3 linked regions of the Caenorhabditis elegans genome follow. The protein of the gene in region 1 interacts with the protein of each later gene in a biochemical or structural test. Each region holds a gene or a part of one and is shown on either strand. Other genes may lie near its edges.

Evidence for each region. Proteins that work in one complex are often made in the same cells at the same time.
Region 2: of the proteins of air-2 (region 1) and ulp-1, one has a biochemical effect on the other in vitro, tested with the Caenorhabditis elegans proteins (one study listed by BioGRID).
Region 3: of the proteins of air-2 (region 1) and rec-8, one has a biochemical effect on the other in vitro, tested with the Caenorhabditis elegans proteins (2 studies listed by BioGRID).

The regions. Positions count from the first base shown.
Region 1 is NC_003279.8:5,935,684-5,939,812, forward strand, and holds air-2 (Aurora/IPL1-related protein kinase 2), read left to right. Parts: upstream 1-1,793; 5' UTR 1,794-1,800; coding exon 1,801-1,868; intron 1,869-1,917; coding exon 1,918-2,026; intron 2,027-2,102; coding exon 2,103-2,470; intron 2,471-2,533; coding exon 2,534-2,807; intron 2,808-2,907; coding exon 2,908-3,006; 3' UTR 3,007-3,193; downstream 3,194-4,129. Other genes in the region: B0207.6 (GPN-loop GTPase 2), read right to left, coding at 1-194, 522-720, 878-985, 1,103-1,261. UniProt on the Caenorhabditis elegans protein: Serine/threonine-protein kinase component of the chromosomal passenger complex (CPC), a complex that acts as a key regulator of chromosome segregation and cytokinesis.
Region 2 is NC_003281.10:5,164,882-5,171,418, reverse strand, and holds ulp-1 (Sentrin-specific protease), read left to right. Parts: upstream 1-1,619; 5' UTR 1,620-1,679; coding exon 1,680-1,719; intron 1,720-1,767; coding exon 1,768-1,869; intron 1,870-1,935; coding exon 1,936-2,072; intron 2,073-2,594; coding exon 2,595-2,897; intron 2,898-2,944; coding exon 2,945-3,226; intron 3,227-3,532; coding exon 3,533-3,685; intron 3,686-3,737; coding exon 3,738-3,835; intron 3,836-3,883; coding exon 3,884-4,615; intron 4,616-4,691; coding exon 4,692-4,770; intron 4,771-4,972; coding exon 4,973-5,140; 3' UTR 5,141-5,760; downstream 5,761-6,537. Other genes in the region: prp-19 (Pre-mRNA-processing factor 19), read left to right, coding at 1-364, 428-810, 860-1,063; T10F2.2 (Mitochondrial ornithine transporter 1), read left to right, coding at 6,128-6,362. UniProt on the Caenorhabditis elegans protein: Protease that deconjugates smo-1 from targeted proteins and may catalyze the processing of smo-1 to its mature form.
Region 3 is NC_003282.8:13,348,345-13,354,894, reverse strand, and holds rec-8 (Meiotic recombination protein rec-8), read left to right. Parts: upstream 1-1,701; coding exon 1,702-1,754; intron 1,755-1,803; coding exon 1,804-2,003; intron 2,004-2,048; coding exon 2,049-2,245; intron 2,246-2,293; coding exon 2,294-2,409; intron 2,410-2,851; coding exon 2,852-4,296; intron 4,297-4,793; coding exon 4,794-4,941; intron 4,942-5,413; coding exon 5,414-5,511; intron 5,512-5,565; coding exon 5,566-5,654; 3' UTR 5,655-5,773; downstream 5,774-6,550. Other genes in the region: Zinc finger protein mex-5, read right to left, coding at 14-437, 483-1,003, 1,052-1,165; W02A2.9 (Plasma membrane proteolipid 3), read right to left, coding at 6,320-6,439.

The DNA of each region.
Region 1 (4,129 bases):
GCTAATAACTCCACAAATTGCTTCATTCAATTTTCGATATTTTTCCAATCCGGGAACTTCATTCAAAAGATCCAAAAGTCGATTGACATCAGGTAAATGGGAGAAAAACTCGAGATCATAGGTCCCGTCTTCAGAGAAAAGATCTGCTTTTGACAGACAGTTTACTTGTGGCATCTCCATTGTTACCATTGTCGCTGAAATTGAAGCTTTTTAATGAATATAATTTTAATTTGTTCCTTTCAGCCACACAAAATTTAAAGTGGTTCCGAATTTCAATTTTTTCCATCTAAAATCAAATAAATAACAAAAATAGGTTTCAGATTAAATGAAAGTTTTATGTGCCAGAAAGATATTGCATTTCTTAGCCAGAAATACATAAAGGCCCATGGAGTTTCAAAATTGTACAGAACAAAAATAAATTTTCATTTTTTGGAGGAAATCAGCTGAATTATATTTGGAAATTTCGGGTCGAGAGACAAGAAAAGTATTTCAATTTTTTTTTAATCTTAATGAACTCTTACCTAATGTGGATAATGCAACAGAAATGAATTTCGATGGGTCACTGCAGTAAAGTGAATCGGCAAGATGTAAGGCACATAGTCTAACACCGGATTTTTCCAAAAAGCGGATAACTTTCCATAGTTCGCCTTCGCTTTTGTATAGTTCCAACTGTCCGGGACAATCAATTATCAGATATTTCTTGTGATTCGCTTCGATTTTCTGAAAAAAGATTTAATTGAATATTAAAACTACAAAGAGGTTAAAAATGATTTCCGATTTTCTCGATTCAAATTTAGAGAATTCCAGATTTTAGCTCAATTGTTGTGAAAACAATTTTTAGCTTTTGAGAATTAACTTTTTCTGCCAAAAAAATTACCTGGAGGAGCCAATTACAATTAGCTCCAAGTGTTTCAATACAGTATTTGAGAGCTCCATTTGGTCCAAGTCCAAGTCGATCCATTACATCATTCACAGTGATCATTTCCTAAACTTTAGTATTTTAAATGAAAAATATGACCTTAAGTATTAAAATAACATTGATAGATGATCTGTACCACGTTTCATAATTATTGTCCTATATTCATTGGAATAAAATACTTACAGTGATATTTACATCAGGTGCGTATGCCATTGTGTCATTAGCAGGATCAAGATTGATAGTGAGAAATGGTCGTTTGGTTTGTGAGAAAATGTCCGTTAATCCTGCACAAAATGTAGATTTTCCAGCTCCAGGAGCTCCAATTACAAGAACTCCGTACATAGTCCAATGAGTACTGAAATTTTCTAGTTGAATCTTAATTTTCTACGGATTGTTTTGATAGGAAAACATTTAAGAAGAACAAAAATATATAAATACAATTTAATTTAATTTAAAACAAACAAAAAAGCAGGATAAACGGGCCTGGCACAGGGCCAAGTACGCATTTACACCGTACATGACGACATATTGCGGACCATTGCATTTTGCCGCGTTAATTTTTTATTTAAACGGCTTGCATTTCTCCTTACTATCCAGCTGACAATTTTTAGTTTCTTTAGAATTATTTGCAATCAAAACTCGTTTTTTGTAAACATATTTACTCAGGTAATGTGTTGATTTCTCACTTTTTTTTGAAATCAAAGCAGAATTAGTCCTATTTTTATTCTACATAAATATCTAAATGTATTCAATTAAAAATTGGGCCATTGAACTTCTAATTAATTCAATTTATAAATTTATCGTGATGTTTTCTTTTAGTTAATTTGTCCTTAATCGTGCCGTCTATTTTATTTCTTCATAAAAAACTTTTCAGTTCCGACATGGAGAATAAGCCACCTGTAATCAACCTTCCAGAGAAGGAAACTGTGAATACTCCACAGAAGGGAGGGTAAGAAATCAAGGTTTTAAAAGTTTATAAATTATTCTTGATTTTACAGAAAATTTACTATTAACGATTTCGAGATCGGAAGACCACTGGGAAAAGGAAAATTCGGCAGTGTTTACCTGGCTCGCACAAAAACTGGACATTTCCATGTAGCGATCAAGGTAACATATTGATTTATTTTGTATTTATTTGAATTATCATTTTTCTGACATCCGTTTTACCCATACATATTTTCAGGTTCTATTCAAATCGCAACTCATCTCAGGAGGCGTCGAGCATCAATTGGAGCGTGAAATTGAGATTCAATCTCATTTGAATCACCCGAATATTATCAAGCTCTACACATATTTTTGGGATGCGAAGAAGATCTATCTCGTTTTGGAATATGCCCCCGGAGGCGAAATGTACAAGCAATTGACAGTGAGCAAGAGATTCTCAGAGCCAACAGCTGCAAAATATATGTATGAGATCGCAGATGCTTTGTCATATTGCCACAGGAAAAATGTGATTCATCGCGACATTAAACCGGAGAATTTGCTTATCGGATCACAAGGAGAATTGAAAATTGGAGATTTTGGATGGAGTGTTCATGCTCCTTCGAATAAGTGAGTTTATCCTCAAATTTAGGAAATCTAGATGTTTCCAAAAATTCACTGTCATGTTTTCAGGCGCCAAACAATGTGCGGAACAATGGACTATCTCCCTCCTGAAATGGTGAATGGAGCCGATCACAGTGACGCAGTTGACTTATGGGCAATCGGCGTTCTCTGCTATGAGTTTCTCGTTGGAAAACCCCCATTCGAGCACGAAGATCAGTCCAAGACATATGCGGCAATCAAAGCGGCACGGTTTACTTACCCTGATTCTGTGAAGAAGGGTGCACGAGATTTGATTGGAAGATTGCTTGTCGTTGATCCCAAGGCTCGCTGTACGCTTGAACAGGTTTGTTATTGATTTCAGCTTAGTGGCCAACATATTATCAGCACACAGAAGTACACTTTTGTAGTGTTCTTAATTATCATAATTCATTAAATTATTACAGGTGAAGGAACACTACTGGATCCAGGGAATGATGGAGGCAAAAATTAGAGCTGAGAAGCAGCAAAAGATTGAAAAAGAAGCAAGTCTTCGGAATCACTGATCAACTACTGATTTTCCCGTCCTTCTTTCAATCATCTCGTCTGTCTGTCAAATAAAGGATCTCATCACATTTACTAGAAATTTTAAAAAGTGAAATAACTTGTCAACCAATTTTTCATGTAGTTTTTGTTTCGCGAACTCTATTATTCCCAATCGTCTAACCCCATTCATTCAACATAAATTTATTTTCTTTTCTCGTTCTCCATCTTTCTCAATATATCTACAACAACTCAATTAGTACCTCCCGAGATTTTCTCCTTTTTCAGATGTCGCGTAGACTCGCACTCGGAGCAGCTGCTTCTTTTCGTTGAGGTTCATTTGCATTTTTAGATTTTTGAGAAAAAAAAAAAAATAAAATTTAAAAGCGACAAGAAAATTTCGATTTTCTTTAGGATTATTTTATCACACCGTGCGACTTTATAGTCCCAAAAGGAAAAATAACAACTAAGCTTAGTACTGAGTACACTTGAAATTTCAAAACATGAGGTTTTTGAAATTCACGTGCTCCAACAATTTCAAGCACTTCTTGTGCCCTTTTTAAGTCCTCGAAAACTTATAATTTTTTCAGTAAGTGGTGCGGGGACATTTTCAAAAAGTTGTTTTTCTCAAACAAAGCATATTTCACAAGATGTCATTCTGGACAACAAAAAATTAAATTAAATTTTTAAATTACAGGGAACTTTTACCGATTAAGCGCGGGCGGTGTAATTATAGGTTTCGATGATGTGGTACTTTGGCTATAATTTAGTTATACAACTAGAATTTTCTAATTTTTTTATTTTCTTTCGAGATTTCTGAGAACACATTTTTATTTGAGAACTCATGCTAATTGCTGAACCGTTTTCTCCGATTTCTTCAAAAATCTCACATTTTTTGTCTGATTAAGAAAATTAAAGTTTCATTTTTCACTTGTGAATAACGCATCTTTTGAAATCAGAATGCAATCGCGCTCCAACGCCAAATAGAAAGACTCCGCCCCGATAATTTGGGTCTCGTTAGGTATTTGCGGAAAATACGTAAATGTATTATTTTTCCAAAATTTTCATTCAGTTTCGTTGATTTCACTCGTTTTCAATCATTTTTTCGTGAAATTTTGTTGTTCATTTTATTATAGCAAAATATAG
Region 2 (6,537 bases), on another chromosome or scaffold:
CGTAAACAACGAGGAAAAAATCTTCCTGAAGGACTTGCCAAAACAGAAGAGCTCGCCGAGCTGAAACAGACAGCATCTCACACTGGAATTCATTCGACTGGAACTCCTGGAATTACTGCATTGGATATCAAGGGAAATTTGTCACTTACCGGAGGAATTGATAAAACCGTTGTCTTGTATGACTATGAAAAGGAACAGGTTATGCAAACATTCAAGGGGCATAACAAGAAGATCAACGCAGTTGTTTTGCATCCGGATAATATTACTGCAATCTCTGCTTCTGCTGATTCACATATTAGAGTCTGGAGTGCAACTGATTCGTCTTCGAAGGCTATTATTGATGTCCATCAGGCACCCGTTACAGGTGAGATATTTGAAAAAAATTCGCTAGCTGTAATTCTTCTATTGAACAAACAATGTTTTACAGATATCTCCCTCAATGCATCCGGTGATTACATTCTCTCCGCTTCTGATGATTCTTACTGGGCATTCTCCGACATTCGTTCCGGAAAATCGCTTTGCAAGGTTTCAGTTGAACCAGGATCACAAATTGCCGTTCATTCCATCGAGTTCCATCCTGATGGTCTTATTTTTGGAACTGGAGCTGCGGATGCCGTTGTGAAGATTTGGGATTTGAAGAATCAAACCGTGGCTGCTGCATTCCCGGGACATACTGCTGCCGTTCGTTCGATTGCGTTTTCTGAAAACGGATATTATTTGGCTACGGGATCAGAGGATGGAGAGGTCAAATTATGGGATCTTAGAAAATTGAAGAATCTGAAAACTTTCGCTAACGAAGAGAAACAACCGGTAAGAAATTGTTAAGCAAATGTTTAATGAAAAAATATAATTTTTTCAGATCAACTCCCTGTCCTTCGACATGACTGGAACATTCCTAGGAATTGGTGGCCAAAAAGTTCAAGTTTTGCATGTGAAGAGCTGGAGTGAAGTTGTATCACTTTCTGATCATTCTGGACCAGTCACTGGAGTTAGATTCGGAGAAAATGCTCGTTCATTGGTGACGTGTTCATTGGATAAGAGTCTCCGAGTATTCTCTTTCTAATTGTTTTTATTACCATTTATTACTAAGTTATTCAAAATTTCACCACATTTTTCCCGTTTCGTTTCCTTGTTTTTTTTGTATTCCGGATTGTTCAGTCAAGTTGAAAATATTCCCATCTATAGAAAAGCTGACAAACTATTATTCTTTCTCCATCTCTCGTTACCATATATTATCGATTCCAAAAATTCTCCTTTTCACTGTGAATCAACAAAAAAAAAAGAGTTGATTGGCTGTCTTCCTGTGGTGAGATCTCTTTCTATTTTTATCTATTGGATTTTATTTTGTTCACATTTATCTTTTTAACAGTTCAACTTTTCTCCAGATTCCCCAAATTTTATTCATTTCATTCAAAAATGATCTGCAGCCAATCTCCTCCGCTTCTATCCCATTCATCTATTCTTTTATTAAAAGTAATTTATGCAATAATTGAATGATTACGTACTGCCTAGAGGTTAATTGCCTTCTTTATTTTGGCTGAAAAACTTAAAATGTTGCCCTTTGTGATAGTATTTACTATAGCAAAAATCTTTTAAAGCAGCTAAAAACTATATTTCAGGATAGCTACTTGAATCTGGAACATCAAAAATAGACGATATTCGATTGAAAGAGAAACGGAATGTCACGTAGGTCTGATTTATCAGACAAAGACTCTCAATGTAGGAGAAGTGAATGAAAAATAAGCTGAAATTAATTAAAATATTTAGCAAGAAAACGACATTGGTTAACCGATCAAGCTGTTACAAACGAAGAAAAAGAGCAGTCGCCAACAAAAAGAACCAGAAAAACGAAATCTCAAGGATTGGGTGGTGAGTGAATCCTTTTCCTTGATCCATAAAAGTATAAATTTGAAATAGCGATCTTCAACATTTCAGGGCTTTTCAATACCTTCTTCGGAATGTTCGTAAGCAGTAATTCGGGAGAAAAGGAGAAAACTGAAGTTTCGGGCGAAGTTCAAGTTCAAGAGGATGATGAAATTATAGTGGAAGGAACGACGAGGAGAGTTGCTGAGGTATATTTTGAGAATAAATTAACTTTCGGAGTTAAGTTCAGCAAATACCGTATATTCTCTATTAGTGCTGCATGCAGCACTAATTTCCAGGCCCTTTTTTAATGCAGCACTATTAGAGACTGCAGTACTACTGGAGACTGCAGCATTAATTTTCGAACGGCTATTTTCAATTATAGATCACTAGTTTTTAATCACAAAACCTCATATTTTAAGCAGAAATTCATAAAAATTGCGAACTTTTGTAAAAAAAAGACCCAATAATTCAATTACTTTCCTAAATTATCAAAAAATCATAAAATATACAAAAAAATACCCAAAAATATCGAAACTGTCAAGTGACTCTTTCAATAGAAAATGGGGTGCAGCACTAATAGAGACTGCAGCACTATTTTTCGGACCCTTTTTGAATGCAGCACTATTAGAGACTGCAGTACTACTGGAGATGCAGCACTAATAGAGAATATACGGTATATAAACCCCCCCCCCCCCCCCCCTAACTAAACATGACCACAGTTGTTACAGAACAAGAAATATATGATTTTTCTGAACGAAGATGCACCTGTGAGAGCCAATGCTGGATCAGAGGAAAATGAAGTTATCATTGAGAAACATGTTCAAAAAAACGTTGAAATTCGGAATGACGAAGAAAAACAAGAAGTTCAAGGAGATTTAGTGCTCACCTTATCATCTTCCCCAAAGTCGCCAAAAAATTTGGAAAAGTCATTTGAAGTACAACAGGATGATGAGGAACCAGACGTTCTTTTCGAGAAAGTAGTCAAGACACCAAATAAGCAATTGCAAGAAGCAAGACGATTTCAGAATGAGGTATTAGTATTCGAATAATTCTATTATAATAAATTATCAAACTTTAGTTGATCTTTCTCAACGACAATCCAGACACACCAGACGATGTATCAGTTATTTCTGACTCTAGGAGCAAAGAATTTATCTCACCGACACCCGATGACAGTGTTAGTCGTCCGATTACTCCGAGCTTATCATCATTATCAAATTACACATCAAATAATGTTCGTGATTATTGGAGACGGAATTCTGCTAAAAAGCCAGAGGTTTTGAGACGGGTCCCTGTTAGACATCAATTTAAGCACTCAACTTCTGTTCGGAAAATGAACACGATTATTGATTTAAAGAAGGTAATTATTTCTTTATGAAGCAGAGAAACTAATGTGAGAAATTACAATTTTCAGTGTATCAAACTGAAGCTTCAGAAATTAATTCTAAATGCCAAAAACTTCTTATTATTAAACTTTATAGGTTTTTTTAAAAACCATTTTGGAAGATTTTTCTTCCCAAATGGTCCGCAAAACCTACAAGATTCAATTTTTTAACATTAAAATTGATTTTGGAACGGATACATTAGACGATTTTGTTATTTAGAATTAATTTCGGTCCACTGTTTTTATAGATAATTATTTATTTTTAAGGTTTAATTATTTCAGATAAAAAATCACCTGTCATCTCGCGATCGACTTCTTCAAGGAGTTGTTGCAAGTGGACAATACGAAGCTAAAGCGATTTCTGGAATTGTTGAAAAAAAACCGAAGAAAATGCAGAGAACATCATCAACTGACATATTAGCCAGAGCGAAGAATGTATGTTCAGGATATTACTGTTATTTAAAACTTTCTGATCTTTTTTCTTCAGAAAATCGCAGAATTGGGAGGATCCCGAAGCAACACCCCTTCACTCTTATCAAGAGAACCATCCATCATCATTGATAGCGAAGAGTCCACTTCTTCAAGGTATTTATTTAAGTTTTTCATCAATTCAAGCAATAATATAAATTTAAGTTACCGCCAACACGCCCGATCAAATTCGTCGGAATCTGATTCATACAGGAAACTCAATGATATTCTCTCGCAAATTAATAGCCTTGGAATCGGTTCCGCATATCGAGGACCGCAGAGATATCAGAATTCTTATCAATTGTCGAAGCAGAAGGAGGATAAACTTCTAGAAGAGGCTCGGATACGAGAAGGACATCGCTCTCAAACAAGAGGTGATCGATTGGAAGATGTTCGGAAGAGACTTGAATTGCAAGGAATCGCTATTCGTCCGAAGGTGGAGAAGAAGAAAGTTGATGATTTTATGGCTTTACCTGATGCTGCTGATGCTCTTGTAGAAAGAGCATGGAGCGGAGGGAATCCAAATGAACAATTTGTGGATGCATTCAGCATTCAGATCTGTAAAAAAGATCTTGCAACATTGAGTGGATTGCATTGGCTGAATGATGAGATCATCAATTTCTATCTTCAATTGATTTGTGATCGGAGCAATGGCGATTCGAAATATCCAAAGATCTATGCATTCAACACATTCTTTTATTCCAATATTGTTTCAAAAGGATACGCGAGTGTGAAACGATGGACAAGAAAAGTCGATATCTTTGCATTCGACATCGTTTTGGTGCCAGTTCATCTTGGAATGCATTGGTGTATGGCTGTTATCGATATGGGCGAAAAGAAGATTGAGTTTTATGACTCTCTTTATGATGGAAATACAGCCGTTTTGCCAGCATTGCGGTTAGTTTTTTGAGTGTTTTTGGTTTTTATTTAAAAAACTCACAGAGAATATATCAATAAATATTTTATATTTCAGAGGTTACTTGGAAGCTGAATCATTGGATAAGAAAAAGACAGCAATGAACTTTTCTGGATGGACAATTCAACAGATGACGGTATATTGAATTTTAAAAAAATTAAATAAAAAAAAGGATTTTTACTTTAAATTTATTTCTGAAAAAAAGTTTTTTTTTAGAAGTCCAGATGTTTGGCTCAATCACTCTTTTTTTGATATCTATGCTCTCTAAAACAACCAGTAATACTTCTGAAATTACACACACAAAAAGATCTTCAACACGCGATAATCATCTTGTTTAGGACATTCCTCGTCAACAAAATGGCAGTGACTGTGGAGTATTCTCATGCCAATTCGGTGAATGGGCATCTCGACGAACGACGCCTCGCTTCACGCAGAAAAATATGCCATACTACAGAAAGCGAATGGTTTACGAGATTGTTTCGAAGAAGTTACTCGCAACTATTTGATTCTAGAAGATTAAAAGTGTCATAATTCATAGTTTTGTTTCCGGAAAAGTAGCTGTAAAATGTATTTTCTTCTCATTGGGCATAATTAAAACTTATATTTTGTCGGTGTCGTAAGCCCGAATCATCTAGAAAGTCTTTAATTTTCTGTATTTCGAATTAACCATATTTCCCATTTTCGTAGCATTTCTTCATTATCCAAAATATCGTTGTGATTCTCATCACTAATTATAACTTTTGATTTCATTTCATACCGTGTAAAGAATGTTCATACAAAAGATTAAAGATGATCGACGGTGTCAGATCACATCACATTATCACTTGTCACGTGGTCATTCTCAGATGACGTTGTTTTGTTTCAAAAGGTGATGCAAACTTTCCCATCCCGTTTTTAAGATTTTTTTGTCTCTGTGGATCTCTGGCCTTTTTTCTCTTTTCTCTTTTTCATTCTTCCTTTTATCCGAGTTTTATTTGATTTTTGACGTATTTATTAACAATTTTCTCTCCCTTCCACCTTTCAATTCCCAGTTCAATAATATCAATCAGCTTTCTCTGTTATATCAATATATTTCACTCCCGATCCCCGTCACCATTGCAAGTTGCAATAAATACAATTTCTTCACTTTTTTTTCGTTGAAATTTATTTTTTTTTCTTCTTGGTTTTATTTTCAACCTCATGGTTATATATTTTGAAGTTTATACAGATTCAATGTTTTATTTTCTAAACAGAGGAAATTTAAATCCTCCTTTATTGTGCTCATCGTGATCACAAAGTCACAAAAAATTTAACTTCCCAAAACCAAAAGAAATTGTCGTTTTGTTTTCCTCCTCACGACTCAAAAGTTAAATTTTTTGTTTTTTGGTCCGAAAAACCAACAAAACCAGCTATTTAGCAAACAAGAAAAAATGATCGTGATCTAAATTTTCTGGAAATTTTCAAAACCATTTCTTCCAATTTTTGTTATTTCAGAAAATAAAATAGATAGAAATATGCATGAAAGCGGTGAACCTACAACTGCAACGGGTGATGCTTCAGCCAATCATTTTAAAGATGGAATTATCGATTTATTGGCTGGAACAGCTGGTGGAATTGCCAACGTGTATGCTGGACAACCATTAGATACAGTTAAAGTAAAAGTACAAACATTCCCGAATCTCTATTCAAATTGGATTGTTTGTCTCAAGGATACTTATAAATTGGACGGAATTCGAGGACTTTACGCTGGTTTGTTATTTTTGTTTCGAAAATTTTGAGCTTAGTCTGGATTTCTGAATCTAAAAAAAGAAAAACAATCCTTTGTACTGAACACGTTCCATGCAACTATAAAAAAGAGTACTTCTTGAAGTAAAAATTCTCACCCTTTCTGGGAAGAACAATATAACGTGTTTTCAAAAAAAAC
Region 3 (6,550 bases), on another chromosome or scaffold:
AGTGGAAACTCACATATGGAGGAATATTCTGGAATTCCTTGTCCGTTGGATGAACAAACTCGCAACGAAGTCCATACGGGCAGAATCCAGTTCCTCCACGCGCAAAGTTCTTGCACAGCTTTGTCTTGTACTTGTTGTTCGGATAGCGAGCCGGAGCATCAGTAGCTCTGAGCTCTTTGAGCCCATGAGCAAACTTGCATCGAGCACCCATATCACATGGTTTGATTCCAGATGCGTGCATCATGCAAAGACGAGTCTTGTAGTTGGGTGGTTGTTGACTGTCAGTTTCTGGAATTGGGAATCCACGACGACCGAACTTCTCGCCACGATGTTCATGGAAATGATTTTCCTTTTCAGCGCTCATCGTGTCATCGTTGTGATTGTCAAGGGTGATCTTTGAGATCTCATCGATCGGCAACTCGTCATGCTCCATAACACTGAAAAACATATAATTTTTATATTAAATTTCAAACTAATATTACCGATGATATCTGAATTGGATGTTCCTGTTGCGATTATCACGCTGAACAGTCTCGTATTCGAGACTTGTTGGAAGAGGAGTAGACGAGGTCAATGGAGCTGTGCGTGTGCTACTAATCTCCACTCCCACTTGTCTTGGCTGTTGTTGAGGTGGAATTGCCGGCTGCGTATGTGGCATCACACCCATTTGTTCTGGAAGCATCGGTGCGGCTTGCATAGGATGGAAGTACATTGGAGCCGCTTGTGGAGCCATTGATTGTTGATAATAGATGAGCTGTGGTTGTCCTGACTGCATGACTTGCTGAGCTCCTTGTTGTGGTTGAGCCATATAGAGATACGGTTGACCAGAAACCATCATGTGCTGTTGAGGAGCCATTGATCCGTTCGCGGGAACCTGCACATACTGTCCGTTGGCATCTTGATAATATGGAGCCGCTGGGGCGTACTGTTGAGAAGATCCATTTTGTGCCGCATACGTCGCCATTGGCTGGTTCGGCATGGCAGCCGCGAAGTAGTACTGCATCTGAAAAATATAACTGTAATATTATCAACATTTGTTGATTGTGAATACCTGTTGATCGTAGATTTGAGGATGTGACGACTGCCCTGGTGGTAGTGGTGGCTGGGTTGTCGTAGGTGACACTGATCCTCCGGCCGACGAGACACTATTTGATGCCGCTTTCATTCTCTGTCTGAAACATTCAATTGATTATCGATAAAATTAATTAAGAGAGAATACAATGAGAAAACGGAAAATCGAGCAGGATTTTGGGGAAAGTCGGGGAATTTTTGCTATTTAAGCTTTCTTTAACAAAGAAACTGCATTTTTCCATGAGATTACCATGAAATTTGCGTTAAATGGGTGAATTTATAACATTTACGGCTAGAAATTAATTTTAAAAAAGAGAATAAACGAAAAATTATTCGAGAAAACGTCTTTGAAGCAGAAATGAAATGAAAAAACAACCGCCAGCGCTGACAAAAATGATCAAACAAACGGAGTACGGTATACGCGGTAAGACCCAAATGAATTTTAATTCGGTGCGCCTTTAAAAAATGTATTTTTTTAATTTCTTTATCCGTGGGCCCAAATGTATTTTTTTCTTGTGGTTTGATGTAAAAATTGGGTTATATTATTTGTTTTATGGTTTAATTTTTTAAAAACTGATATTTTGCCGTTGTGAAAACCGTAAAATCAGTCGAAAATGTATTTTCTTGCAGATGGTTGTCTCTGCGGAAGTAATTCGAAAAGATGCCGTGTTTCACGTGGCTTGGTGAGTTTTCTCATCTTTTCAATCTAATTTATAATTTCTGCTTTTCCAGGATTCTTGGTACCGGCGACTCGAAAAAGCTGTCACGAAGAGAGATTTTGGACCAAAATCTCCCGGAACTGTGTCATTCAATCATTGAAATGGTTCCCGAACGGCACAGGGGCTCAGCAACAAAAACTGGACTTTATTTGCTATCCCTGCTCACATATGGAACAGTTTTGATCCATCAAGTTCAGGTTGATTTCTTGAAACGTGAGTTGGAGAATTGTATCGTCAGAAATCAATTAATATTTTCAGGAGACGTCGAGAAGCTCAAAGAGCTCATGAAGAAGAAAAGTTTCATTTTGCTGATGGCTGAAAGGTTCGACAGAAACCAAGAGTTGCAGAGAAAAGAAGATAAATTCGCAAGACTGAGATCTAAGCCTATTATGTGCGTCGAGGAGTTGGATCGGGTTGATTTGGCTCATTTACAAGCAATTGGCGACGAATTGGGAGTGAGTTCAAGTTAATTAAATAATCAATAATCAAGAATATTCTTCTAGATCAATGGAAATCCAGGAGACTTTATAATGATGGATGCGTTGCCCAACATGAATCAGTGGATTGACAATAATTCAGAATTGAATGCGATCTATGGATGTGTTGAGCCTTACCTGAGGTTCGGAACTGAATAATCGATCCCAGATTTTGAAAAAAAGCAGCGACGCACATGAACCCTGCGGCACGGTTTTTCACCTTATTTCAATAAAATTTCGATTTTCCTTGATTTATTCGCATTTTGCGTATGAAAATGCTATCCAATTAAATTTGCATAAGATTGCGAGGATATTTCCTGTTTTTACAACCAATGAAGCTCTAAATATCCTTATAATCTTATGAGAATTTATGCGGATTGCATTTCCATTCGAAAAAAAGAGAATAAACCAATTACAATCGAAATTTTATTTTAAAAAAATCAACAAAAGCTCTGAAAAAACCGTGCCACAGGGTAGAGAAATTACACTCCGCCTCTATTTCTGTGCGACATTGCTTTTTGCAAAATTGATGGATTGATAGTTTAATTTTAAATTAATTTCAAAAGTAAAATTTTCGTGTTTCAGAGAAAAAGAAATCACCATGCACTCCACGTTTGTCGAGGGTAACGGTTCAAATGAGCACAACAAGGAACGACGAAATGACGCGGTAATTGCCGACTTCAGCCAACTTTTGTTCCCTGAGATCCCTGAAATCACACTTGGCGAGAAATTTCCGATAGATGTCGATTCCAGAAAACGATCTGCTATCCTCCAGGAAGAGCAAGAAGAGGCTCTTCAGCTCCCCAAAGAAGCTTCTGAAATTGTGCAAGAAGAGCCTACAAAATTTGTCTCTATTGCTCTGCTCCCGAGTGAAACCGTGGAACAACCAGCACCCCAGGAGCCTATTCAAGAGCCCATTCAACCAATTATCGAGGAGCCCGCGCCACAGCTTGAGCTTCCACAGCCAGAGCTTCCACCACAACTAGATGCAATTGATCTTGTCACCATTCCAGCGAGTCAGCAGGATATGGTTGTTGAATATCTTCAATTGATCAACGATTTACCCGATGACGAGAACAGCCGACTGCCACCATTGCCGAAAGATTTAGAATTGTTTGAAGATGTAATTCTACCACCTCCAGCAAAGAAATCAAAAGTCGAAGAGGAAGAAGACGCGTTGGAAAGAGCACGAAGAAGACCATCATCGCGTCCAGTAACTCCGATTAATCAAACCGATTTGACAGATCTTCATTCAACTGTGCGACCGGAAGATCCGAGTTTCGCAATAGACTCCCAAATTCATGATGTTCTACCTCAACGGAAAAAATCGAAACGCAATCTGCCGATCATCCACAGCGATGATCTGGAAATCGACGAAGCTGTGCAAAAAGTGTTACAAGCCGATTATTCCTCACTGGTTCGTAAGAAGGAGGATGTAATAGCAAAGATTCCACCAAAAACGGATGCAGTCGCGGTGCTCATGAACTTACCAGAACCAGTTTTCAGTATCGGATATCGTCTTCCTCCAGAGGTTCGGGATATGTTCAAAGCTTGTTATAATCAAGCTGTTGGAAGTCCAGTGAGCGATGATGAAGAGGATGAAGATGAGGAAGAAGAGGAAGAATATAAATATGCAAAAGTTTGTCTTCTGTCTCCAAATCGCATCGTTGAGGATACTCTACTTCTAGAAGAGCAACCTCGTCAACCTGAAGAATTTCCATCTACGGATAATATCAACCCGCCAAGACAGCTACAGGAGAATCCAGTTTTTGAGAATTTGGAATATGAAGCGCCCCCGCATCCAATAAGAACTGCTCGTACGCCCACGCCGATCAAAGATTTGAAATATTCAGTTATTAGTCTGTTCCCAACTCCAGAGAAACGCCGGGAGACGAGCATCATTGCTGAACTGAATTTGGATCCTATTCCAGTTGAAGAAATTGATCCACTTTTGACGATGAGAACCGAAGAAGAACTTGAAAATGTTCGACGCCGTCAAAAAAGCAGTTTAGGGGTTCAATTTATGAGAAGTGAGATATTTTAATGTCGATTTAGTGTTGAAAATAATTTTTGCCGAAAATTGCCGAAAATGTTTAAATTGGGCAGTTCTCGAATTACCAAAAAAAAATTCCAATTTTCGGAATAAAAGGTCAAAAATGTTTCGATTTTTTCCTCGAAAATCGAAAATTCTTACATTTTCAGAGAATGAACGATAAAAATCACATTAAATCATAAAATCAATTTTTTTTTTGCTCATAAAAAAAATAAGAAAACATATAATTTTATTCTTTAGAATATCTTGGATTTCTTTAGGTAGAAAATGACCAAAATTGTTTTAAAAAAATAAGCAAACCGATGGTTTGTGTCGGGCTTTTGGTTTTTTTTTTACTAAAGTAAAAAACATTATTTTTGGATTTTTGAAAAATCGAGAATTTTCGTTGTTCGATTTTTTTGTTATACTCGCCGATTATTTTTCAAACTTTCGGTTGTCGCCCCCACTTTATAGTTTAAAATAAAATATTTTCAGCTGACGATCTGGAAGAGGATACTCGCCGTAATCGACTATTCGAGGATGAAGAACGGACTCGAGATGCTAGAGAAGATGAACTATTCTTCTATTCATCTGGAAGTCTCCTTCCCAATAATCGGCTCAACATCCACAAGGAATTGCTCAAGTGTGTATACTAACACTAAAACAGAAAGATCGACCTGCAAATTTTGCAAGGCGCCGCACACAAAATGAGGCGGAGCGTCGTTTTTTTAAACTTGCGGCTCGCCAGCCATTGTGGAAAACTGTAAATAAATTTTTGTCTAAAATGCTTGATTTCGGATAATTTTCGCTTATTTTTTTGTGTTTAATATTCGAAATAATCTAAAAATTTGGAGTTTATTCAACGAAAATTTGCCATTTTCGCCGGAAAAATACCATAAATAGTCAGTTTATTTCGAATATTAACAACAACGAAATTAGCGAAAATATTCCGAAATCCAGAATTTTCGCGAAAAATTATTTCATAGTTGTCCACGAGCCGCAGGCTTGCAGAACAACACCCCGCCTCTTTTTCTGTGCGACGCATTGGCAGGTCAATCGCTCAGTTTTGATCGTAATTGGAACTACGAAAAATCAAAAAAAAATCAATTTTTCAGCGAAGCAGAAGCAAGATATCCAGAATGGGTGAATTTCAATGAATTCACTGCGGATCACGATCGTAAAAAGGCAGCAACCGCCTTTGAGGGCCTTCTTTGTAAGATATTTAGTCGTTGAGACACAAATTAAAATAAAAATAAATATTTTTCAGTGAGTCTCAAGAATATGAAGGTTGAAGCGAAGCAAGAAGATCCTTATTTTCCAATTCTAGTACGTCACATCAGCCACGAAGAAATGTGAAGCTGCTAATATAATTGATACTGTATCATTTCCCAATTTTTCATAGCTTCCATTGTTTTGTTGTATTTTATTGCTTTGCCTTGTTCGTTAATCTTTAAAACTGAAAACTACTGTACCATTCATTTTTTTAACTTTTTTTCCTGTTGTTAAACGACTCTAGCTAGGGCTGTTATGAGGGACGAAAAGGGGCGCCCCTCGTCCCCTCGTGGGGGCGCTTCCTTCATCCAGTGCGAAAAATGTGCGTTTGTATCCTCCATGTCGATAGCAAAACAAGTTATGATTTTGCTTCATAATTATTAAAGTGACACGTTTTTTGTGTGGAATATCCACGATGGACCCGCACAATTTAACGGAAACGAGTTTCACGTAAAAATATTTTAAATGAGGTGAATATCTAATATAAGTAAAAATGAATAGGACGCGACTTTTCGTCACATCGGGGACGAGGGTCGTCCCCCATCCCCCAACCAGGGGACGGGGGCGTCCCTCGCCCCCATGAGGGGGACGAATGATCGCCCCCGCCCCCCAAAAAGGGACGTCCCTCATAACAGCCCTAACTCTAGCTAATAAAAATTGGTAGGAAATACAAAATATTAATTTATGAAAACGTGAATAATATGACCCGGGTGAGTATATAAAATATAATTATTTATATGAAATCAAGGTTAGTACCAACAAATAATGAAGCAAGCGTGGATGACTCCGGGTATGAAGCCGAGAATTGTGAGCACAATATTGATGACCAAGTCGGCTCCGCATCCTTTTTCCATCCAAACACCAATTGGCTGCAATTTGAAACTTTTTTTCGAATTTTTGAATACCTGCGCCTTTGAACGCTACAGCTTTACAGTTTTAAATGAAAATTGCATTTATTCAAAAGTGTTGTGCACGCGCCT